Linked DNA regions of Callithrix jacchus. The protein of the gene in region 1 purifies or fractionates together with the protein of each later gene. This does not show direct contact. Links are inferred from orthologs where the notes say so. Each region holds a gene or a part of one and is shown in the gene's direction. Other genes may lie near its edges.

The links.
Region 2: the proteins of PLRG1 (region 1) and SF3A1 fractionate together in Homo sapiens (co-fractionation; 3 studies listed by BioGRID and IntAct, with this or other methods). This does not show direct contact. The link is inferred for Callithrix jacchus from reciprocal best matches to the Homo sapiens genes PLRG1 and SF3A1.
Region 3: the proteins of PLRG1 (region 1) and PRPF19 purify together in Homo sapiens (affinity purification with mass spectrometry; 8 studies listed by BioGRID and IntAct, counting the BioPlex papers as one, with this or other methods). This does not show direct contact. The link is inferred for Callithrix jacchus from reciprocal best matches to the Homo sapiens genes PLRG1 and PRPF19.
Region 4: the proteins of PLRG1 (region 1) and XAB2 purify together in Homo sapiens (affinity purification with mass spectrometry; 3 studies listed by BioGRID and IntAct, counting the BioPlex papers as one, with this or other methods). This does not show direct contact. The link is inferred for Callithrix jacchus from reciprocal best matches to the Homo sapiens genes PLRG1 and XAB2.
Region 5: the proteins of PLRG1 (region 1) and SF3A2 purify together in Homo sapiens (affinity purification with mass spectrometry; 3 studies listed by BioGRID and IntAct, with this or other methods). This does not show direct contact. The link is inferred for Callithrix jacchus from reciprocal best matches to the Homo sapiens genes PLRG1 and SF3A2.
Region 6: the proteins of PLRG1 (region 1) and SF3B1 purify together in Homo sapiens (co-immunoprecipitation; 3 studies listed by BioGRID and IntAct, with this or other methods). This does not show direct contact. The link is inferred for Callithrix jacchus from reciprocal best matches to the Homo sapiens genes PLRG1 and SF3B1.

The regions. Positions count from the first base shown.
Region 1 is NC_133504.1:42,068,296-42,072,335, forward strand, and holds the start of PLRG1 (pleiotropic regulator 1), read left to right. Parts: upstream 1-1,240; 5' UTR 1,241-1,326; coding exon 1,327-1,335; intron 1,336-2,658; coding exon 2,659-2,765; intron 2,766-3,761; coding exon 3,762-3,904; intron 3,905-4,040. UniProt on the Homo sapiens protein: Involved in pre-mRNA splicing as component of the spliceosome. Component of the PRP19-CDC5L complex that forms an integral part of the spliceosome and is required for activating pre-mRNA splicing.
Region 2 is NC_133502.1:200,944,707-200,948,206, reverse strand, and holds part of SF3A1 (splicing factor 3A subunit 1), read left to right. Parts: intron 1-458; coding exon 459-666; intron 667-2,102; coding exon 2,103-2,360; intron 2,361-3,500. UniProt on the Homo sapiens protein: Component of the 17S U2 SnRNP complex of the spliceosome, a large ribonucleoprotein complex that removes introns from transcribed pre-mRNAs.
Region 3 is NC_133511.1:117,927,757-117,931,762, reverse strand, and holds the start of PRPF19 (pre-mRNA-processing factor 19), read left to right. Parts: upstream 1-1,206; 5' UTR 1,207-1,430; coding exon 1,431-1,449; intron 1,450-2,351; exon of another isoform or gene 2,352-2,438; intron 2,439-3,873; coding exon 3,874-4,006. UniProt on the Homo sapiens protein: Ubiquitin-protein ligase which is a core component of several complexes mainly involved pre-mRNA splicing and DNA repair. Required for pre-mRNA splicing as component of the spliceosome.
Region 4 is NC_133523.1:7,204,675-7,208,174, reverse strand, and holds part of XAB2 (pre-mRNA-splicing factor SYF1), read left to right. Parts: intron 1-1,138; coding exon 1,139-1,273; intron 1,274-1,360; coding exon 1,361-1,525; intron 1,526-3,500. UniProt on the Homo sapiens protein: Involved in pre-mRNA splicing as component of the spliceosome. Involved in transcription-coupled repair (TCR), transcription and pre-mRNA splicing.
Region 5 is NC_133523.1:2,116,813-2,120,777, forward strand, and holds the start of SF3A2 (splicing factor 3A subunit 2), read left to right. Parts: upstream 1-1,165; 5' UTR 1,166-1,228; intron 1,229-3,965. Other genes in the region: PLEKHJ1 (pleckstrin homology domain-containing family J member 1), read right to left, coding at 1-158, 253-320, 489-582. UniProt on the Homo sapiens protein: Component of the 17S U2 SnRNP complex of the spliceosome, a large ribonucleoprotein complex that removes introns from transcribed pre-mRNAs.
Region 6 is NC_133507.1:118,366,983-118,370,482, reverse strand, and holds part of SF3B1 (splicing factor 3B subunit 1), read left to right. Parts: intron 1-187; exon of another isoform or gene 188-324; intron 325-1,299; coding exon 1,300-1,479; intron 1,480-2,156; coding exon 2,157-2,243; intron 2,244-2,369; coding exon 2,370-2,640; intron 2,641-3,061; coding exon 3,062-3,207; intron 3,208-3,297; coding exon 3,298-3,444; intron 3,445-3,500. UniProt on the Homo sapiens protein: Component of the 17S U2 SnRNP complex of the spliceosome, a large ribonucleoprotein complex that removes introns from transcribed pre-mRNAs.

The DNA.
Region 1 (4,040 bases):
ATACAAAAATTAGCCAGGCGTGGTGGTGCATAGATGGAATCCCAGCTCTTCGGGAGGCTGAGGCAGGAGAATCCCTTGAACCTGCAAGGCAGAGGTTGCAATGAGTCAATATCGTGCCATTGCACTCCAGCCTGGGCGACAAGAGCGAAATTCTATCTCGAAAACAAAACAAAACAAAACAAAAATCCACCATGACCTTAATGTTTTAAATTTCCAAGTGAGGTCATCGATTTACATTGCTATTCTTTTGCTAGGTCTTTTTTTTTTTTTCCTTTCGAAGTGTATGTAGTATGCTCTGGGGACAGGATCAGTGAAACTGAAACAGGGCCAGTAAGGTGTTTGTCTATTTAAGCTTGCAAATGCCCAAGTCCATCAATTTTTCATTTTACATAGAAAAATAATTGGGTAGGATTGACCACAAACCGCAGATTTTACCAGGGTAGAAAGCAAAAATATCAATACTTGGCACAAGGATATGTAAAAATAAAAATGGCTAAAGTCTCCAATTGTGCCTTTCTTCAACCAGCTTTGAAACGCTGTATCCTGGCATTGTTGAAGCCCAATAATCAGCAGACAACTAGGAAATGGCCAAGAGCTACACAGTTTTGAGAAACTAAAAAAAAAAAACCAACCTATTAGCAGAAAATAAATGTGGGGTTTTACACTGTTAAAATTATTTTGTATATCTACATATGAAAAATCTCCAAATTAAAACAACTATTCCGCAACATTCACTCAACAAGTGTTTACTGGACTGTTTAAGCGAAATTGTTTTCAGGCGTTAAGCCTACAACAGTGTTCAAGTGCTTCTCGCCAGGACTGGAACCAGCAGACAAACCACGTCGGCGACCTCCAAAGAGATCAAGGCAGTGCAAGTGACTTAGAGCCCACGGGAGTTTGCTCTCCAGACGCTGAGGTTCCCTGAATAAAAAGCATTAAGCTACCGGGTAATACAGCACGAACAATCAGGACCCCAAGCAAAACAGCACGAACAACCAGGACCCCAATCAAAACATTTAAGGCTGAGGATAAGGAAGAAAACAAATTGTAAGATTTCCTCAGAGGTGCGAGTGAAACCCTCCGGTCAGGCGCTTCAAGGAGTCTCCGCTCCTCAGCTTCGAGACTCCGCCCTAGAGGCGGTCCCGAGGAGGAAGATCCGCCTCCCGATCCCAGATGGCCGGGGGAAACCAGCGCGCGTGCGCAGAGTTGCGTCACATCCGCCGCCTGGGTGCCCAATTCCGGAAGGTGCCGCACAGTTGTGGCGGCGGGTACTGCGTTAGTGATTAGGGTTTCGTCGCTGCCAGAGGTGGGATATACGGCAGCATCATGGTCGAGGTAAAGTGACACTGGTGCTCTCAAGAACCGTTTGCCTCTGGACTGTTTTTCTTTGGCAGTGGGCGTGGGGGATTGAGAGTGCTTGGAGTCCGGAGAGAAAAGAGGCTACGAGGGGAGCTATTTGGCCAAGGCCGGGTGGTCTCTTTTTCAGGTTTTCGGGGAAGGGGGAGAAACCGGATGAGAACCCGAGTCAGAAGTTCAATCCGGGCGCGAAGCCTGAGATAAATCGTTCAGTCCCCGTTTGACTCTTGGGGGCTGGACACTGTCCTTGGAGGCGGGGCCTCTGTTGGTGTTCGACCACTGGTACTCGCCGCCCTCGGGGCAGTGTCAGTGATTCTGTGCCCTAAAAGACTGGCGGCCTTCTTTATCTTGCGTTCAGGTTCTTCTCTTATTTCATCTCTACCCCCAGAAAATCTTGCCATTCTTTACATCTTTCCCTGCCTTGAACAGCCGCTCTGTTAGCTGGTCTTGTCCATCTTACCCCATATATTTATTGATTCCATCAACTCTTCTCTGTAACCACTGCAGTCCACCTTAATTCAGACCAACCGCATCCTTCACCTGGACTGGTTTCCTTGTTTCCATTTTGTTCTATAAGTTCTGTTTAAAACGTAAGTTGTTCATACCTTTCTTGCTTAAAACCCTTTACTGACCCTATGTTGCTGGAACACAAAATATTAGGTTGTTGTAATGGTCTAAAAGGCCTTACCTAATCTGGACCTTGTGTACCCTTGCAACCACAAAGCACCTTCTCACCCACCATATACAGCTGTACTGTGCTCCTTGTTTTATTTCAGTTAACTGAACACCTTTTTACATAATATTTCTGTCAGCCTGGTTCGTTTTAACTTCTGTTTGTGCAAAGCTAACTCCCTTTCTGCTTAAATATCATCTTAGTGAAATCTTTTACAATTATACTTAGTCCTTCGTACTCTGACTCAGCACCTTGCTTGTTGCCTTCATAGCACTTATCAAAATGTGGAATTATTTTACTTTTTACTGTTTCCTCCTGAGCACAGGGACCATGACCACCTTTTTATCATTTTGTTGTGAGATTCTAGCACAACACCTGCCAGAGCTCAATAAATATTTGTTAAATAAATGACTAAACTCAGGCATCACTCAGTTGCTATACCTGAGTTTCTAGCCAAAGAGGAGCTTCCTCTTTTCTGAACTTGACTCCTGTAGCTTGCAACTAGTAGCTATGATGAGTGTATAAAGCTTTTTACATTTTTAAACATGTAAAGTGTATAACCAATCTGACGTTATGTTATGATTTGTTTAATTTATAGGTAGGTGTGTAATTGCATTCTTTCTTTTTAGGAGGTACAGAAACATTCTGTACACACACTTGTGTTCAGGTCGTTGAAGAGGACCCATGACATGTTTGTAGCTGATAATGGAAAACCTGTGCCTTTAGATGAAGAGAGGTAGGTATAGATTTTGTTTTTGTTTTTTTTTTTTTTCCAGTTGCTGAAATATTTAACATTTTAATATTGGGCAAAGAGAACAGGGAGAGGGAGACCTTTAAAGATAAGTTAGTAATACTCATGGCCTAATTATTCAATAATGAGTGGTATTTTGGCATAATTTAAGCTGATTTAACTTTTTTTTTTGCCTTTTACAGTAAAAGTTCCATTAATTAATTGCATTTTATAAATGCCCAGTAATTAAGCGAGCCCCTTTTAGGTGTTTTATTTTATAATAAATCACTTTGTATGTGCTTTCAGCTTCCTGCTGCTCTCAGAGCCTTGCTGAGCTGAAATTGTACCTGGCCAGTACCTCTACTCCTATCTTTTCTCGTTAGTATGATAAAGATTTTTGAATGGTGGCACATTTTTGGTTCTACATATCCAGCTCTAGTCTGGGATTGCATTATGTGCAGTGTTCCTTCTTTGTTCTTTACCCTTTTAAAATCTACTGAATTCCTCAAACAAGCATTTATATTTAATTTATAAAGTAGACAATTTTAAAAAGTAATATAAGTGCCTTTCTTTCTAAAATACTGAACCAGTTAAGGATTTTGATTAGTTTTGACTAACCTGTTTAGAAACATAGAAAGGCTGCTATAAAGTTCTTACTATATTTATATATTGAAGGAAAGTATATTGATTTTGAGGTTTCTTAAAGGATATGTTAGTTTCTATATATCTTTCAATCAGACCCTTGATAATTTATCATAAAAGGTTTTGTATTTATTTGGTAACGAACTAAAATATTAGGTTTAATGAATGCTGTGTGGTGGAATGTGAGCAAAAGAAAACAGATAATGGTGGGAAAATGAACTTGGAAATTTTTTAATCTTTTAAATATGACTTAAAATCTTACTAGAAACTTTTTCTACATGATTTGGCAAACTTAAGCTATCCAAGTATTTGTTTTAAAGTATTTACGGATATGTTCTTATGTTTATAATTTCTAAATAGTCACAAACGAAAAATGGCAATCAAGCTTCGTAATGAGTATGGTCCTGTGTTGCATATGCCTACTTCAAAAGAAAACCTTAAAGAGAAGGGTCCTCAGAATGCAACAGATTCATATGGTCATAAACAGTACCCTGCCAATCAAGGTGAGTATGGTATTATCAGAAATGTCAGGACTTACATGTGAATTTTAAAAATAGAAAAATAAAATGGGTTATTTATGCCCCTCCTGGCAGAACTTATTGTGATCATACAGTATTTAATGGCTGTATTGGTATTATA
Region 2 (3,500 bases), on another chromosome or scaffold:
CTCAGCAAACTTCGAGCTAAACTTTGACAATATTACTTTATTTGCATTGTATTCACTTTTGACTACCTTTTGTGGATAAAGGCATACTGATTTTTAAAAAAATTTAAGTGGTAATATGTACCCTCCATTTTAAATAGATTTTTCTAAGTAAATAAACTTTATTAAAAGGAATGAGCAATAGCCTAAATGGTTTTGGAAATGGCAGAACTGGAAGAAGAGCTAAGGAATGACTGAGTTCAGGAAGACCCTGTGGTAGAAATGGCCTAATTGAGGCTGAATGAGACAGATGGCACTGATTGTCAATGCCAGGAGGCTGGAGGAGGATGTCTGCTCTGCTGAGGGCTGGGCTGGTTTGAGCAGTGGGTGGTGGCAAGAAGAGTGTTCAAATGGGCAGTGTTCTGGATCTCAGCAGGCACAAGGGGTGTGGTGTTAAATCTTCCTGTTTTTCCTCCCTCCAGAAACGGTCCTGAATTTGAAGCTAGGATCCGACAGAACGAGATCAACAACCCCAAGTTCAACTTTCTGAACCCCAATGACCCTTACCATGCCTACTACCGCCACAAGGTCAGCGAGTTCAAGGAGGGCAAGGCTCAGGAGCCGTCAGCTGCCATCCCAAAAGTTATGCAGCAGCAGCAGCAGGCCACCCAGCAGCAGCTGCCCCAGAAGGTTTGGAGCCCAGCCCCACCCCGCCTCACTTACGCAGGGCCGAGAGAGAAGCAGGGATAGGGAGGGGGTACACAATTAACTCTGCTATCCAAACCTCACAACCACCCAGGGAGAGAAGTGAGGTCATCATCCCCATCTCACAGAGGCAGGCTGAGGCCCAGACCGCAAAGTACTGATGATAGTTGGTGTGGCCCGAGCACTGCTTGTCAAGCTCTGCGCTTTACTTCAGGAGTCTTGTCTCACTGACTCTTCACAGAGGCTGTAAAAGGAATCTGAGAGTCGGGGGAAGTGGGATTTGTTCCAGGCCTTGCTCAGGGTGTGAGGGCAGTGCCATGATGTGTGAAGGACTTCCTACTTGGTTGTGCTGAAGGGCAATGTGGCCTGTGTGATCCCTTCCCTTCTGTCTTCTTCCCAGGACCCCTCCATCTGCCCTCCCCTAATACCACCCTCCCTGTGCTGAGGCCCAGCACTAGGGACTGTTAGGGTTATGAATGAAGAGAGAGGCTGGCGTGTTGTTCCTCCTGTCCAGACCTGGGCTGTTCCCTTCGCTTTTCTGCACTCCTGAACCGTGGTGGAAAAGACAGCCCCTCCTTTTGCAGTGGGATAAAGAGGCTGAAGTCAGGTTCTAAGACCTTGCATTGCAATATACTACTCCTAGGGCCTCAGGCTACCTCGGTTTCCTCATCCATAAAGAGGATTCACAGTACCTGTTCTGTATCATGCTTCATGCGGAGGTCATGGAAACATTTTGTACAGTGGGGTTCTCTGCACACATACAGGCCTTACTGCACTTCTATCCCTCTTGGATGGGTTTTTTTTTTTGAGACAAAGTCTTGCTTTTGTACCCCAGGCTGGAGTGCAATGGCATGATCTTGGCTCACTGCAACCTCCTCCTCCAGGTTCAAGCAATTCAACTGCCTCAGCCTCCTGAGTAGCAGGGATTATAGGTGCCTGCTACCACACCCAGCTAATTTTTGTATATTTAGTAGAGACGGGGTTTCACTTTGTTGGCCAGGCTGGTCTCGAACTCCTGACCTCAAGTGATTTGCTCGCCTCGGCCTCCCAAAGTACTAGGATTATAGGCATGAGCCACCGTGCCCAGCCTTGGATGGGATTTAATAAGCCATATTTTTGTTGGATCTTCTGTCATCCAGTTTTACCTCTCTATTTCAAGGGAGGTGCAGCAGAGATACAGAGGGGCATGGTTCTCACTGGAGCCATTCATGGAGTTGAGGCCATAGTTGACTGGCAACTCAGTGCTCTTAGAGCACTGATTTAGAATTCTCTCACACCAAGTGCAAGTGGTGCATACATAATCAACAGAAGTCTAGAGGTTCATAGCCGTCCTGCTGAGGGGTGGGTGCCCATGCCTCCTCCCCTCCTCTAGAGCCTGTCCACCTCTGTGCCTCTCACCTCATACTCCCTTTGCATCTTAGGTCCAAGCCCAGGTAATCCAAGAGACCATCGTGCCCAAAGAGCCTCCTCCTGAGTTTGAGTTCATTGCTGATCCCCCCTCCATCTCAGCCTTCGACCTGGATGTGGTGAAGCTGACAGCTCAGTTTGTGGCTAGGAACGGGCGCCAGTTTCTGACCCAGCTGATGCAGAAAGAGCAGCGCAACTACCAGTTTGACTTTCTCCGCCCACAGCACAGCCTCTTCAACTACTTCACGAAGCTAGTGGAGCAGTACACCAAGGTACCTGGGCAGGGTGGGGCTGGGGTCCTGCGCCCAGGGAAGGAAGGCATCTTACCCTTGGAAGCACTGTGTCCACTCACTGTCTACAAGGACATCGCTTCTCCATGGGGCCTCTGAGCAAACATTATGAATCCCAGTTTGATGTAAAATCCTGATTTCTGTTCAGTTATTTCTTTAAGTGCAACACAGACTGCGTGTTTCCAAAGGGAAGGGAAACACGTGGTTGCTAAGTACCGTTAGGCAATTGCCTGCTGTGTGACAAGGCCCAGTCGTGCTTGCTGCTTCTAAGTACATTTCCATTTTCGGTTGCCTAATAAGGCCCTAAGAAGAAGCAAGCCTTTAACAGTTGCCTCATTTTACCTAATTTAGTCCTCACAAGAAGCCATAGGTAAATGTTTTTTTTCCCCATCTTTCAGAAGCAGAAACAGGCTCAGAAAGATGAAATCACATACTCTAGGTCTGTCAGCTAGTAAATAGCTATGCTGAGATTTAAACCACATTTGACCCTAAAACTTTGGTTCTTCAGATTATAAAGTACCTTAAATTGGAATAGCATTTAAATAGGCATTGAGAGACACTTTGATGTGATATAAGTCAGTATACCTAATGTCACTAAGAAATTATATATGCAGCATCTTCTCATTTAATCTCCAGTAGCTTATAACGTAGTCACTATTGTTATGTTCACTTTATAGAAGAGAAAACTCAGGCTCAGAGAAGTTAACATGGCCAGGGTCACATAGCTAGGAGGTGACAAGCTTGGGGTTTGAGCTCTGGCATTTTTACTCTGGACTCTAAAAGCTCAATTACCATGTGACAGAGCTGCAATCAGGACTCTGGACAAGGCTGGGCGCAGTGGCTCATGCCTGTAATCCCAGCACTTTGGGAAGCTGAGGCAGGCAGATCGCCTGAGGTTGGGAATTCGAGACTAGACTGGCCAACATGGTGAAATACTGTCTCTACTAAAAATACAAAATTAGCTGGGCATGGTGGCGCATGTCTGTAATCCCAGCTACTCAGGAGGTTGAGGCTGGAGAATCTCTTGAACCCAGGAGGCAGAGGTTGCAGTGAGCTGAGATCGCACCATTGCACTCCAGCCTGGGCAACAAGAGCAAAACTCCATCTCAAAAAAATAAAATA
Region 3 (4,006 bases), on another chromosome or scaffold:
AAGTTCATACAGCCAATCACCTGGGTGGTGCTAGCACACAGTCTGGCTTCAGAGTCCATGCCCTTGGCCCCTGTGCCATACTGCCTTTTGTAAGTGTAACTTTTATTTTTCTCTCCAAGCTTTTGCTTATGTTGTTTCTCCTTCTGGAACGTCTTTCGTTCTCCTGCTCTTCTATCTGAATACTGCCCATCTGTCAAAGTTCCTCTTGCTTACACATCCTGTTCGTCCCGCCCTTTTGTCTGGATACCTTTTAGTCCACACCACATGTCCTTTGCATGATTTCTGAGAGTATATTATCTTACAGATATCTGCAAAGAATCATACACTATCTGAGCTGGAAGAGAAATAGCAAATATAAAATAAATTTATAGGAGGCCATTGGTTTGGACTGAGATCTTGCACTAGGCCCAACATACCAAGCCAATAAGAGTTAGTCCTGCTGAAGTTCCATGCTAATGAGCTGAAACGGGGATCTTTATGATCTTCTGAGTAGGAGAGAGAAATTGAGGGAAAGAGGGAAAAAGGTGTGGGAGAGAGAGAAAATAGCCAAATTCCGAAACAGGCTAGTTTTAGATGGCATGATAAGGAAGTTCCCTCCACTTTAACCTTTACAGGAAAAGTAATTTTGACATGACCAAACGACCAATCTGCTTTTTTTGTCTCTGGTTCTGTTTTCCTCAGTCCTTTTCGGTCTATAAATACAAGCTTGCCTGTTCAGCTCATTGGACTAATCATTATATTTTATAGTGAGGAGCGCCGCCCAGTTCTACAGAATTGCACCTGTAATCCCAGCTACTCTGGAGGCTGAGCAGAAGGATCACTTGAACCCAGGAGTTCCAGGATGTAGTACGCTGTGATTGCACCTGTGAATAGCCACTGCGTTCCAGCCTGGGCAACATTGCCAGTCTCTTTAAAAAAAAAAATTAAACTAAACTTTAAATTTGTTGTGATTTTGTCTTTTGACAAAGATGAAAGGGCAGGGAAGTCAATGTGAATTGCCCCAAATCACACTTGTCAAAACAAGTGCTGTCCAACTGATTTGGTTTTAAATTCTCACTGCATCATGGGAAATGTAGTTTCGAGTCTCCTCTCTCCCGACGTCCCCGCCACTCTGCCGGCGCTTTACGGAACGAGCCGAGTCAATCCGGAAATAACCGAGTGTTCGCGGCTGGCCTTTTCCTGCCCGGCTGCATTCTGGGAAAGGGCAATTTCCGTTAGGTGCTGAAGGCTGTGGCGCGCGGCTGTTCCCATTCCCACGTGAAGCGCTACGCTAGCATCGCTCTGCGAGCGGCTCCCAGCTTGCCGCCGAGCAGTCCCGGCAGAAGCGGGGGACCGGAAGTGGCTCGCGGAGGCTCAGAAACTAGTGCCGGAGGCTCAGAAACTAGTCCCGGAGTCCGGCGTGTGGCGTCTCGGAGCGCGGCGAAGGCGCCATGTCCCTGATCTGCTCCAGTGAGTGTTTACTGCGACCGAGCGCGGGTCGCAGGAGGCCGGAGAGCGGCGCGGGACCGTGTGCGGGCCGCTGCGGCGCTCGGGCCGGGGTGGAGGCGGTTATGGGGCGCCCGGGAGGCATAGTGGAGGCCTGTCAACCTCGCAGCCCTCCCCTCGGAGCGGGATGCGTTTGCGCAGTGCTCCGCAGTTTACATAGTGCCTGAGGTTTATTGCCGCAGGCATTACTGAGGCCAATCGCCTTGTTCTACAGAGTGGAAACAGCCTGGACAGAGAGAACTGGTGCAGGGGAAACAGCCTTGATGTAGGAGTTTGGAAACTCCAGGGTCCGCCTCCCGTTGGCTTTGTGAATTGGCTTAAGGCTCTGGGCCCTGGTTTCCCCATCTGCAAAATTGAGGAGCATTGCACTGGTTGTTTTGCGAGGTCTCGCTCGGATGGTCGGAGCTTTTGCAATTTGCAAAGGTCACATGATGAGTTAGAGGCAGAGGCAAGGCTGGCAGCCAGGTTTCTGGCTCTCGGCCTTACACTGTATGACTGATAAAAACAGTCGCACATTTATAAAGCCCTTATTGGTTTACAACGCGCTTCCAAGTCTATGATCTCATTTTATCCTCACAAGAATTCCCTAAAGGAGAAATAAAGATCCTGGTTTTGCAGATGAGGATGCAAGGCTCAGGAAGAGCCGGGGCTTATCTAAGGATGCGTAGTCAGTCAGTGTCAGAGCTGGGTGACGTAGTTAGCTGACATGGAGCTTGGACCCTGAATCCATGCCTTTTCCATACCTTCCACTGCCTTTCCCTTTGATATTTTATCATGACGTTCAGACGTTTCCCTTTAACTTTTCGTTGTTTCATCAGATTACTCGTTTCCCTTCCCTTTTGCTATTCATTTCCTTCTCTTCTCAGAACCTGTACATTGATCCAAAGAGGGGGAAGAAGGAAGGGAAATGATGGAAAAGGATCCCTCACAGTGAAGAAATTACAGCTCGCAAAGTACTTTCACATTCATTGTTTCCTTCCAATCTTGGAGAAGCTTTCTTTTACGTTCCCCAGGACCGTCCTTCCTGGCATGGTTCACTCATTTGTTAGATGTTTACCGAGTGCCCATAGGGCATCTGCATTATATTGGAAGGGAGAGACCAGCTGTAATCCTTATCCTCAAGGGGTGCACAGACTACGCTGGCAAGCGTGTAAATGATACCTCTCTTGCGGGTTGTTGTGAGGACGAATTCCTGTACGGTATGCTTAGAATTGTGCTTGGCAGTGTAATGTGCCATGTAAATATTTTTATTCTAGTGATTGCCACTTTGCTCCTTGGAATATTCCAGGTGATAAATGTCTGTCTGTATGCTCATCAGTTGACTAGTAGCTGGCAGACCCTCAGTAGCTTCAGGATGAGGACTAGTCACCAAGAAAGACCAAGGAGGTATTAGAAGGTTGGGATTTTCAGTCCTACCCCTCACTTAACCTGGGTAAGGAGAGGAGCTGGAGGTTAAGTTGGTCAGCAGTGACCAATGATTTAATGAATCATGCCTTTGTAATGAAGCTTTCATGAAAATCCAAAAGGACAGGATTCAAAGAGCTTCTGTATAGCAGAACATATGGAGGTCCCTGTAGGGTGGGGCGCCCAGGGAGGGCGTTGGAAGCTCTGTACCCTTCTCCCATACCTCCTCCTATGCACCTCTTCGTCCGTATCCTTTGTAATATCCTTTATAATAAACTGGTAAATGGAAGTGTTTTCCACAATGCCATGAGTCACTGTTGCAAATTAATTGAACCCAAAAAGGGGGTCATGGGACCCTGATTTACTGCCGGTTGATCAGACGAACAGGTCAAACAACATGGGAATCACAGTTGGCGTCTGAAGGGGCAGGGGAGTCTCGTGGGACTAAGTCCTCAACCCGTGTGATCTGACGCTGTCTCCAGGTACCTGGTGTCAGAATTGAATTGGAGGACACCCAGACGGTCACATCCGAGGTCACAGAAATATTTTGTTTTGTGACAGAATAGGAGAGACTGAGTTTGTTATTCCTATGTTCTCAGACTTCATAATTTCTTTGATAATCCCTCTGGAGCTATAGACTAAGATGGATGGCAGGCATTAGAATAGCTTCATGTGTATCTCCAGGTCATGGAGTAAACTGTATTCATAGATCATTGTTCAAAAATGAGAGGGGCGGGGATATTGAGTGCTGTTCTCTAGGTGCTTGGCACATAGTAGTTGTTAATGATTATTTGTTGACTGATTGTCAGGAGACTAATGGAGAAGCTAGTTCCATAGCTGGAAAGCATTCTGGGGCCAGTACAGAACTGGCTTAGGGTCAGATGTCTTGCTTCCTGCTAGTTGATTGTGAGGATGCTTAGTCTTGTTGGGCGTAACAGCAAGATTGCCTTCACTCCAAGCTCACTGCCGGCCTTTTCTCTACAGTCTCTAATGAAGTGCCGGAGCACCCATGTGTGTCCCCTGTCTCTAATCATGTTTATGAGCGGCGGCTCATTGAGAAGTACATTGCAGAGAATGGCACTGACCCCATCAACAACCAGCCTCTCTCCGAGGAGCA
Region 4 (3,500 bases), on another chromosome or scaffold:
AACAGTTTGCTTATACCAGTTTCGCATTAGGCATAGAGATGGGTGCTGAGGACCATGTGACTACGACACTTCCTGTCTGCACGTACCTTTTAGTCTCACTAGGAAGACAGATGCATATGAGCTGATGGCATGAACCAGAATAAAACCACAGCCATGAGGGCCAAGAATAGTAGGTGGAGAGAACTGTGGGGATGTACAGCAGGCAGGGTGGAGAGTGTGGCATGGTTTGTTCAAACTTACAGTATCTGTTCTGTGACACTTGGAGTCTAAGCTGGAACAGTCAGGATTGAGGCTAGACCGATGGGGCCCAGGCTGGACACCTGGGCTTGACTACACTGGTGCTGGGCTCAGCTTTTCCAGGAGAAGCTATCATCACAGAACAGTGCTGTCTCCACCTGGCCATAGATGCCATGCCCTGATTTGGGCCTGGATAGGCTGCCCGTGTCCTTCCCACTCATCTACCCAAGAATGAGGACCTCCCAACACTTTCACTCCCTCTCCAAGCCTTGATGGGACCTCTCCCACTTACTTTAGGCCTCATGTGCTTTGAAAAAGCTTTGAGAGCCAATGTGGTGTCTTCCATGGGTCGCCTCTCTTTGCTGCAAGTAATCAGCCCCACGTATTCTCTTAAACTGAGACTTGCACCTGGGCAATTCCTGTTTCCTAAGGTCTCTTAGTAGTAGTAGTAGTCAAGGCTGGACCCATGGGATCAAGGCTAACCCAAAGGGGCCAAGGCTAGGCCAGTCAGGACTGAGGCTCGACCATTGGAGCCAAGGCTGGACCCATTATGGGTGGAAGGTAAAGTCGAACCCAAAAGGACCAGGACTGGACCATTGGGACTGAGGCTAGACCACTGTAGTCAAGGCTGTGTTCTTGTGGGTCAAAGCTAACCCAGAAAGTCCAAAGATGGTCTAGTCAGGCTGGACCCATAGGGGGTTAAGCGCCTAACCCAATGGGGCTGATGCTAGACCAGTAGGAACCAGGGCTGGACCAGTGGGGCTGAGGCTGGTTTGACAGGGCTTGCTTTTGTCCAAGACAGTGGTAAATGGGTGGGGGGCGCCCCAGAGCCACTGAATTTTGGGATGTGGGTGTGGCCCTGCCACCTCACTGACTGCCAGAGAGGTGGGTCGGTCCCCAGCTGAGTCCTGAGAGCGCAGAGGAGTACATCGAGTACCTCAAGTCAAGTGACCGGCTGGATGAAGCTGCACAGCGCCTGGCCACAGTGGTGAACGACGAGCGTTTCGTGTCCAAGGCCGGCAAGTCCAACTACCAGGTGGGCCTCCCGGGAACCGGGAGCTGGGTGGGAGGGCTGCCTGCTCTGTGACTGAGCTCGAGACTCCTTCCACCCCATGCCCTGCAGCTGTGGCACGAGCTGTGCGACCTCATCTCCCAGAACCCGGACAAGGTCCAGTCCCTCAACGTGGACGCCATCATCCGTGGGGGCCTCACCCGCTTCACTGACCAACTGGGCAAACTCTGGTGTTCACTCGCCGACTACTACATCCGCAGCGGCCACTTTGAGAAGGTGCACACCGGCGCGTGGGGCTCTGGGTTCAGGCCGGGGACTCCTGACACTCGGGGGCATACATTGACACACGCACAGGCAGAAAATGTGCCATGTGTGGCCAGGTGTGGTGGTGCACGCCTATAATCCCAGCACTTTGGGAGGCCGAGCGGGGGCGGATCACTTGAGGTCAGCAGTTCAAGACCAGCCTGGCCAACATGGTGAAACCCCGTCTCTACTAAAAATGCAAAAATTTGCTGGGCATGGTGGTGGGCACCTGTAATTACAGCTACTGAGGAGGCTGAGGCAGGAGAATCACTTGAACCTGGAAAGTGGAGGTTGCAGTGAGCTGAGATCACAGCACTGCACTCTAGTCTAGGCAGCAGAGTGAAACACTATCTCAAAAAGAAAGAAAGAAAACAGTCCAGGGGTGGTGGCTCATGCCAGTATTCCCAGCACTTAGGGAGGCTGAGGCGGGTGGACCACAAGGTCAGCCTGGCTGAGGCAGGAGTTCAAGATCAGCCTGGCCAAGATAGTGAAACCCTGTCTCTACCAAAATTACAAAAATTAGCCAGGCGTGGCAGGCGCCTGTAATCCCAGGTACTTGGGAGGCTGAGGCAGGCAGGAGGCAGAGGTTGCAGTGAGCTGAGATGGCGCCACTGCACTCCAGCCTGGGCAACAAGAGGGAGACTCCATCTCAAAAAAAAAAAAAAAAAAGGAAAAGAAAACATAGTATTTGTGACAGACATGCATGTCCCTGCACACAATTGCCATCCGAGTGAGTGGAGGGGGCGATTCCTTCCCGCAAGCACACCAACCCTAGAGTCAGCCAGACTTGCGCTCAAAGTTTCCCCTCTGGCTGTGTGGCTTTGCCCCTACTAAGGATGGAGGTCCTCATTTTTTTTTTTTTTTTTTTTTGAGACGGAGTTTCACTGTTGTTACCCAGACTGGAGTGCAATGGCACCATCTCGGCTCACTACAACCTCCGTCTCCTGGGTTCAAGCAATTCTCCTACCTCAGCCTCCCGAGTAGCTGGGACTACAGGTGCGCACCACCATGCCCAGCTAATTTTTATATTTTTAGTAGAGACGGGGTTTCACCTTGTTGACCAGGATGGTCTCGATCTCTTGACCTCGTGATCCACCAGCCTCGGCCTCCCAAAGTGCTGACATTATAGGCATGAGCCACTGCACCCAGCCTGATGTCCTCATTTGTAAAATCAAGGTGGCAGTCCCTCCCTGTCACCAGTCAGCACGGTGATGTAGGCAGAGCACTGAGTAGGTACCTCATGTGAGGGCCAGTCCCTCAGGGGTCAGCTGACTATGGCTCTTGTCAGGCATTGGAGCAGGAAGCTCTGGGGCAGTGGGAGCAGAATGGGGCTGGAGCCAAGAGCAGGGAATCACAGGAACCGAGAGACAATAGGTTGGGAGCCTTTTGAGCCAAAGAGGGGCTGGCAATGCTGCTGACTGGGGTCCACCAGTGGAGTGGGAGCAGGCATGCATTTCCCAGCGCTCCTTCCAGGGACATGTGTATGCCAAGGCTGTCAGAGGCAGCAGGGTAAGACCCGTCAGGGCTGGGTAAAGAGGGGGGGCCTGAGCTGGGGTCGGTGAGCAGCAGGGGGATGGGTGAACTAGGGAAGAGGGTCAGGCAGGGGAGAGGGGCGCTTTGGAGCAAAGTCTGAGCTCTCCGAGGATGAGCTGAGGTGAGGGTCCCTGCAGGGTGGACCCATAGGCGCTGGGGGGTTTTGGCTACCTGTTGGGTGCCGAGTGCTTCACACACATGTCTCAGTCAAGCCTTGAGGTCACTGCACAGAGGGCAGTCACCCGGTTTACTGAGGAGGTCCCAGGATCACCCCAGCAGCGTAGGGGGTGAGAAGACTTGACTCCGAGGCTCTGTGCTGGGATCACTGCCCAGAGGTGCTGCGGGGGGGCCTGGAAGGCCCTCAGGGGTTGCAGAGTGGGGCTGCTGCTGAGGGTGCTGCTGCCTGTCCCCTGTG
Region 5 (3,965 bases), on another chromosome or scaffold:
GGAGGCCTTGGGCGCCTGGGGAGGGGACAGTGCGGCGCCGCGGGTGCCCCGGGCTGCTGGAGGCGCCCCTGGCCTCCCCAGCCGCACTCACTGATGGAGAAGGTGCCGGGCTCCTCCCGGGTGACTCTGCAGCGCTCCAGCAGCAGGGCTCCGACGGGCTGCAGGAGACACGGGCGCCGGGACGCGGCGGTGAGCGCCCAGCCTCCCCGGGGCGCAGCCTGGCACCCACCCGCGCGCCCGGGGCGCCCCTACCTCGGCCTCGTCTGTCCGGAAGTAGAAGAGGAAATTCACCACGAGCTTCACCAGCCGCCGCTTCAGCACTGCGAGCACAGCGCACGCTCAGGGGCGCAGGCGGTCCCCGCCCGGATCCCCACCCTCCACCCCCAGCGCCCTCACCCGAACCCCGGACCCGGTCTCCCGCCCAGGCCCGGACCTCGGTCCCCGCCTCCAGTCCCTAGCACTGTCCCGGTCTCCCGGGTCCCGCTCACCGCTGCCCTTCTTGGGGCCCCTCATGCCCAGCTCGGCCGCCATCTCGGCCGGCTGCCGGGACAGCGCCTGCAGCTCCTTCTCGTTGTACCGCATTGTTCCGCGGGGAACGGGAACCCGTGCCACGCCTTCCCGGCCGCCGTCCCCGCTCGCGCCGGGGCCGGCGCCAAAAAGGTCCCAGGGCGCACACACGGAAGCACCGCTGGGGCTAGTGCGCCTGCGCGCCTTGGGCCGGCCATGCCACCCACCCCCGCAGGGTGGCGCTGGCGTCCCGGGGGGGGGGGCGTGCAAGGGTTGGCTGGGGAGACGGACCGTCGTTACTAAGTTAACTGAAATACACCGGACCAAGGTGGAACAAAATCAAAACAGCCCCGCGAGGGCTGGCGCCCCTTCTTAGAACGGCCAGGCGCAGGCGGAGGGAGCGATAACATCTCCCGAGTATCAGCCGCCCTCTCGCGAAAGTCGGCCCCGCGCGGCCGCAGCGGACCCAGGGGTCGTTGAAAGCGTTGTGCGCACGCGCGCTTTGTTTTCCAGGCCGCACTTTCAGACCCGCCACCTCCAGCCCTTTCCCTCGCGCCTCCGAACCTCCCGACGCGCGCCGCGGGGCGGGCCGGGCATGCGCACACGGGAGTTCCCGCCCCATCTGCCCCGGAAGTGCTTTCTTTTGCCCGCGACGCGCGTGCGCCGAACGAAATCGTGGCGGTGGCGGATCAAGGTGGCGATAGCGCGGCCTTGGGCTCTGGTGAGGGCGTCGGTCGACGGGGACTGGGGGTTCCCTGGAGGGGAGCGGACGTGGGAGAGAAGCGCTTGCTACGGGCCGCGGGCTGAGGGGCGGGCAGCGGGGTCGCGTCCCTTCCTCCTCCCTTGAGCGTCCGGCCTCGTGCATCTAGAGGCCCCGCGCTGGGCGGGCTGGCTCGAAACTCTTATTTCCAAACACCTGTTGGGGGGTCCGTACTCCGGACCTCACGCCTCTAATCCCAGCGCTCAGGGAGGCCTCGGCCGGAGGATCGGTGGAGGCCAGGAGTTCGAGACCAGCCTGTACAACATGGAGACCTCATTTCTACAAAAAAATTTTTAAAAACTAGCCAGGAGTGGTGGTGGCGCTTGTAGTCCCAGCCACTCGAGAGGATCGCTTGAGCCCAGGATGTCGAGACTGCAGTGAGCCATGATCTCACCACTGCACTTCAGCCTGGGCAACATAGCGAGACCCCCATCCCTGCAAATATTGTTTAAAAAATTAGCCGGGCGTGGCGGCGGGCGCCTGTAGTCCCAGCCACTCTGGAGGCTGAAGCGGGAAGATCGCTTGAGCCCAGGAGCTCGAGGCTGCAGTGAGCTGTGCTTGCGCCACTGCACTCCAGCCTGGGCAACAGAGCAAGATCCTGGTTCGTAAGATAAGAAATAGACAACCGAGACTCAGGGGTCGGATCAGGATCGCGGCCGAAACGGTCTGGGTCCGCTTTGTTGTAGCCCAGAGCGCTCCTGCATCCTAACCTATACCTGTTAGTTGACTGGGGCTCTGTGATGTAACTCCTCTCAGCTTCCGTTCCTTTAAAACGGGAGTGACAGCTTCACCAGGCCCAAGGCGAACGGAAAACCTTAGCTGGCCCCATTTTGCAGGTCACCCCAGGCAGCTGGATGCCTGCGACCGTTACTCCTGTGTGTCCTTGGGCAGCACCAAACAGCCACGGGAGCTCTGGAAAATAGGTTGTTTGCTAGGTTTAAGGAGAGAATGGAGTTGCCACCAAAAACTCCCATCCGCTCAGTGTTCCAGTCCCAGGCCCCAGGACTTTCCCCAGTTCCTTTTTTTTGGGGGGGGACGGAGTTTCGCTCTTGTTACCCAGGCTGGAGTGCAATGGCGCGATCTTGCCTCACTGCAACCTCCGCCTCCTGGGTTCAGGCAATTCTCCTGCCTCAGCCTCCCGAGTAGCTGGGATTACAGGCACGCGCCACCGTGCCCAGCTAATTTTTGTATTTTTAGTAGAGACGGGGTTTCACCATGTTGACCGGGATGGTCTCGATCTCTTGACCTCGTGATCCACCTGCCTTGGTCTCCCGGAGTGCTGGGATTATAGGTGTGAGCCACCGCCCCTGGCCTTCCTCAATTCTTAAGTGGGTTTCCCTGGTCTTTTTTGAGACAGGGTCTTGCTCTGTCACCCAGGCTGGAGTGCAGTGGTGCAGTCACAGCTCACTGAAGCCTCAGGCCATGCTCCTGCCTCAGCCTCCTGAGTAGCTGGGACTACAGACACTCACCACCATGCCCGCCTAGTTTTTGTATATTTTGTAGAGACGGGGTTTTGTGTTGTTGCCCAGGCTGGTGTGGTGCTCCTGACCTCAGGTAATCCGGCTGCCTCGGCCTCCTAAAGTGCTGAGATTACAGGCGTGAGCCACCACGCCGGGCTCGGCTAACTTTTGTATTTTTTTTTTAGAGGTGGGGTTTTGCCATGTTGGTCAGGCTGTGCCCTGGTCTTCCTGGACTGATCTGCTGATTTCACGTCAGGGTGGTTGACACTACCTCCCTCCCATCCACCCCCTGCACCTTCACCTTCCACCTCCTGGATGGGCGTCTGTCCTGAGCGGGAGTAGGTCCTTGGCTACGTTTTCTAAATAAGATGGAAAACGTTGTTGGTTGCTGAGAGAAGTAACATGTTCAGCTGGGCTTTTGTTTTGCACTCTTTCTTCCCCTAAAGCTGAGCAAGTTGCTTTTTACCATTAGCCTGCTTTGCTTTTTTTTTGGAGACAGTCTTGCTCCGTTGCCAGGCTGGAGTGCAGTGGCGCCATCTCGGCTCTGTGCAGCCCCTGCCTCCCGGGTTCAGGCGCTTCTCCTGCCCCCGCCTCCCCCCGTAGCCTGGTTTTCTTCTGCCTGTTTGTTTAGCTCCTCACAGAGCTCCAGCATCTCACACACCTATCAGTTGTATTTCACACAGGTTTAAATAAATCCGTCTCTCCTCACCACTTCCCTCCAAGACTCACGTGTCCCCTCCTCCAGGTGGGACTGGTTCTGCTCTGCCCTGGACGTGGGGCTGTTGCCCCAGAGCTTCCGGTCCTTGCTGCCCGGGGCCTGCCTCTGTTTCCAGCGTGGCCACCCTGTCCTCTCCATGAGTCAGAGCAGAACTTCTGGTGGCTTTTGAAGAAATAGATGATTGTTTTGTTGGTGGGGGGGGTGGCCCTTGATTGTCTGAAAATGAGTTTATTTACCCTCATAGTTAGGAATTTGGTGGGGTATAAAAATCTAGATTGAAAATCTGTATTCGTAGGCTGGGCACAGTGGCTCACGCCTGTAACCCCAGCACTTTAGGAGGCTGAGGTGGGTGGATCACCTGACTTCGGAGTTCAAGACCAGGCTGGCCAACTTCACGAAACCCCATCGCTCTAATAATGCAAGCATTAGCCAGCTGTGGTGGCGGGCGCCTGTAGTCCCAGCTACTCCCAGCTACTTGGGAGGGTGAGGCAGGAGAGTCACTTGAACCCTGGAGGCGGAG
Region 6 (3,500 bases), on another chromosome or scaffold:
TAATTAAAAACAAATTTTTGTAGTTTTTGTAGAGACAGGGTTTTGCCAAATTGCCCAGGCTGGTTTCAAGTGATCCTCCTGCCTCGGCCTACCTCCCAAAGTGCTGGGATTACAGGTGTAAGCCACTGAACCTGGCCATGTTTATATTTTTAAAAATGTTTTTAATTTTTAAATTTTTTCACCAGGAAATGTAGTCCACAAAATAGTAGTGAGCTATTGGTATAGCCCACTGTGGAGTATGGCCTTTCCTTACTCTCCCAAATAGCCCAAATTGGTAAAGGTTATTTAGGAAGCCTTGCCTGCAAAGAAATTAACTTTTGGTAGTGCTATATTTTTATGTTTAGGAATTTATAATTACTCTTGCTTCATCTTTATCAAGGACATAGTGTAAGGGAAAGAACTGTATGTAGTGTGAAGGATTTAACTTTTTTGCTTGTTGTTATTATATATATGTACTTTTGAGACAGGGTCTTGCTCTGTTGCCCAGGCTGGAGTGTAGTGTGCAATCTTGGCTCACTACAACCTCCACCTCTTGGGTTCAAGCAGTTCTCCTGCCTCAGCATCCCAAGTAGCTGGGACTACAGGTGTGCGCCACAACGCCCTGCCGACTTTTGTATTTTTAGTAGAGACAGGGTTTCACCATGTTAGCCAGGCTGGTCTTGAACTTCTGGCCTCAAGTGGTTCACCTGCCTTGGCCTCCCAAAGTGCTGGGATTACAGGTGTGAGACACTGTGCTTCGCCGTTTTTTATTATTTAAATAGAGATGGGGTCTCACTTTATTGCCCAGGCTGGTCTTACTCCTGGGCTCAAGCGATCCTCCTGCCTCTGTCTCCCAAAGTGCTAGATTACAGGCGTGAGCCACTATGCCCTGCTGGAGCTATCTTTTTTAATCAAAGAATTTTGTGCTAATAAAGATGCTGAAAAATGAGACTCTCTTTTTGCCCTCAAGGCCTTAAAATATGCTTAAAGCTTGAAGATAATTAAAATTATATAAGGAATTATTAATACTATATGTGCCTTGGAAATGGAAGATACTTTAGGGGAAATGAAAGCATTTAGTACATAGCTCTGTGGTCCTTTTGTTCTATTAAATTACCCTTATGAATTGACATAAAATTTCTATCACAGGAGTTCAAATTCCGGAGTAATTTGGAAGGAAATGAACTCATGCAGTCTATGTAAAATGTGTGTAAAAGTATACACTAAAATACTAAATTATAGAAAATCTTTGAGTAATTTGTGCATTCAAAATGCTTGATTATAAAGCATTCACACCTTTTATTCTGCTTTTTTTCCCAGGCTGCGTTGCGTCAGATTACTGATAAAGCTCGTGAATTTGGAGCTGGTCCTTTGTTTAATCAGATTCTTCCTCTACTGATGTCTCCTACACTTGAGGATCAAGAGCGTCATTTACTTGTGAAAGTTATTGACAGGATACTGTACAAACTTGATGACTTGGTTCGTCCATATGTGCATAAGGTTTGTTCTCCTTAATAGTGTTCCTGATGCTTTAATATTTTAACTTTTTCAGTTAATGTTAAATTTACATATCCTCCTAGACCTTTTTTTTTTTGCACAACTACACGTCATACATGTACAAATACAATTATATACAGAATAAATGTACATACAGATGTACACATGTAAGTTTTTGTTACCTTTGTCATAAGAGGTTCATACTGTTTTTTCATTTGCTTTTATTGAGATTAGGATAAGAATATGTGATTCTGTATTATGCCATTTAGTGTTAAGAACCAGTGTTTTTACTGATGGTAATTATGGTACAGTATGTTCATAGGGTGTATAAATTATTTTTTTGAGTCGAAGTTTTGCTGTGTCACCCAGGCTAGAGTGCAGTGGCGCAATCTTGGTTCACTGCAACCTCCACCTCCCAGGTTCAAGCGATTCTCCCTCCCAAGTAGCTGGGATTACAAGCGCCTGCCACCATGCCTGGATAATTTTTTTATTTTTAGTAGAGGTGGGGTTTCACCATGTTGGCCAGGCTGATCTTGAACTCCTGACCTCAGGCGATCCACCCACTCAAAGTGGTGGGATTACAGGTGTTAGCCACCGCACCTGGCCATAAGTTATTTTTTTAAAAACATCAGTAATTGATGTCAAAGTGTAGCTTCTTCTCTTTTTTTTTTCTTTTTCAGATCCTCGTGGTCATTGAACCGCTATTGATTGATGAAGATTACTATGCTAGAGTGGAAGGCCGAGAGATCATTTCTAATTTGGCAAAGGTATTTACATTAAATTTCTAGAGAAGAAAATTTTTATCTGTTTGTGGAATTATTTGATTATGGAAGGAAATGGTTGAACATTAATATTGGCAACTGATGACTGTTCCTTTTTTCTTTACTTTTTAGGCTGCTGGTCTGGCTACTATGATCTCTACCATGAGACCTGATATAGATAACATGGATGAGTATGTCCGTAACACAACAGCTCGAGCTTTTGCTGTTGTGGCCTCTGCCCTGGGCATTCCTTCTTTATTGCCCTTCTTAAAAGCTGTGTGCAAAAGCAAGAAGTCCTGGCAAGCAAGACACACTGGTATTAAGATTGTACAACAGATAGCTATTCTTATGGGCTGTGCCATCTTGCCGCATCTTAGAAGTTTAGTTGAAATCATTGAACATGGTAAGTTGCAATGTAACTTTGTCTTTTTTTTCTCTTTAAGAGGTAAGGTCTTTACTATGTTGCCCAGACTGGACTCAAACTTCTGGGCTCAAGTGATCCTCCTGCCTCAGCCTCCTGAGTAGCTGGGACTAGAGGTACACACAAAAGCCTGTCTACATTTAATAGGACAGCTGTCCTAAAATTTGGGCTACTGATTTGGGGAGATAAATGGAAGGGCGTAACTGTACAAACTATATATTTTATGGGTTTGTGATGTTATCTGCTAACAGGCTGTGGTTCATATTTGCTTTTACCTAATTTTGTCTAATGTGAGCACATTCTGCAGTTTAGCTAAATAGTTGATATAGTGCAAGAATCTGGATGATATTGTATAACTTAGGTAATGTTGGTGCATAGTTAAAACCTGTGTTTGGTTTTGTAGGTCTTGTGGATGAGCAGCAGAAGGTTCGGACCATCAGTGCTTTGGCCATTGCTGCCTTGGCTGAAGCAGCAACTCCTTATGGTATCGAATCTTTTGATTCTGTCTTAAAGCCTTTATGGAAGGGTATCCGCCAACACAGAGGAAAGGTAAATCCACCAATTACTTTTTGATTTCTCTTCATTAAGGTGACATAAATCTAAATTACTAAACTACATTTATTTTTTATTTAAAAACAGGGTTTAGCTGCTTTCTTAAAGGCTATTGGGTATCTTATTCCTCTCATGGATGCAGAATATGCCAACTACTATACTAGAGAAGTGATGTTAATCCTTATTCGAGAATTCCAATCTCCTGATGAGGAAATGAAGAAAATTGTGCTGAAGGTATTTATTCCAAATTTGTTAACGTAAACCGGGTTTGTTTAATGGTTCTTAGATAA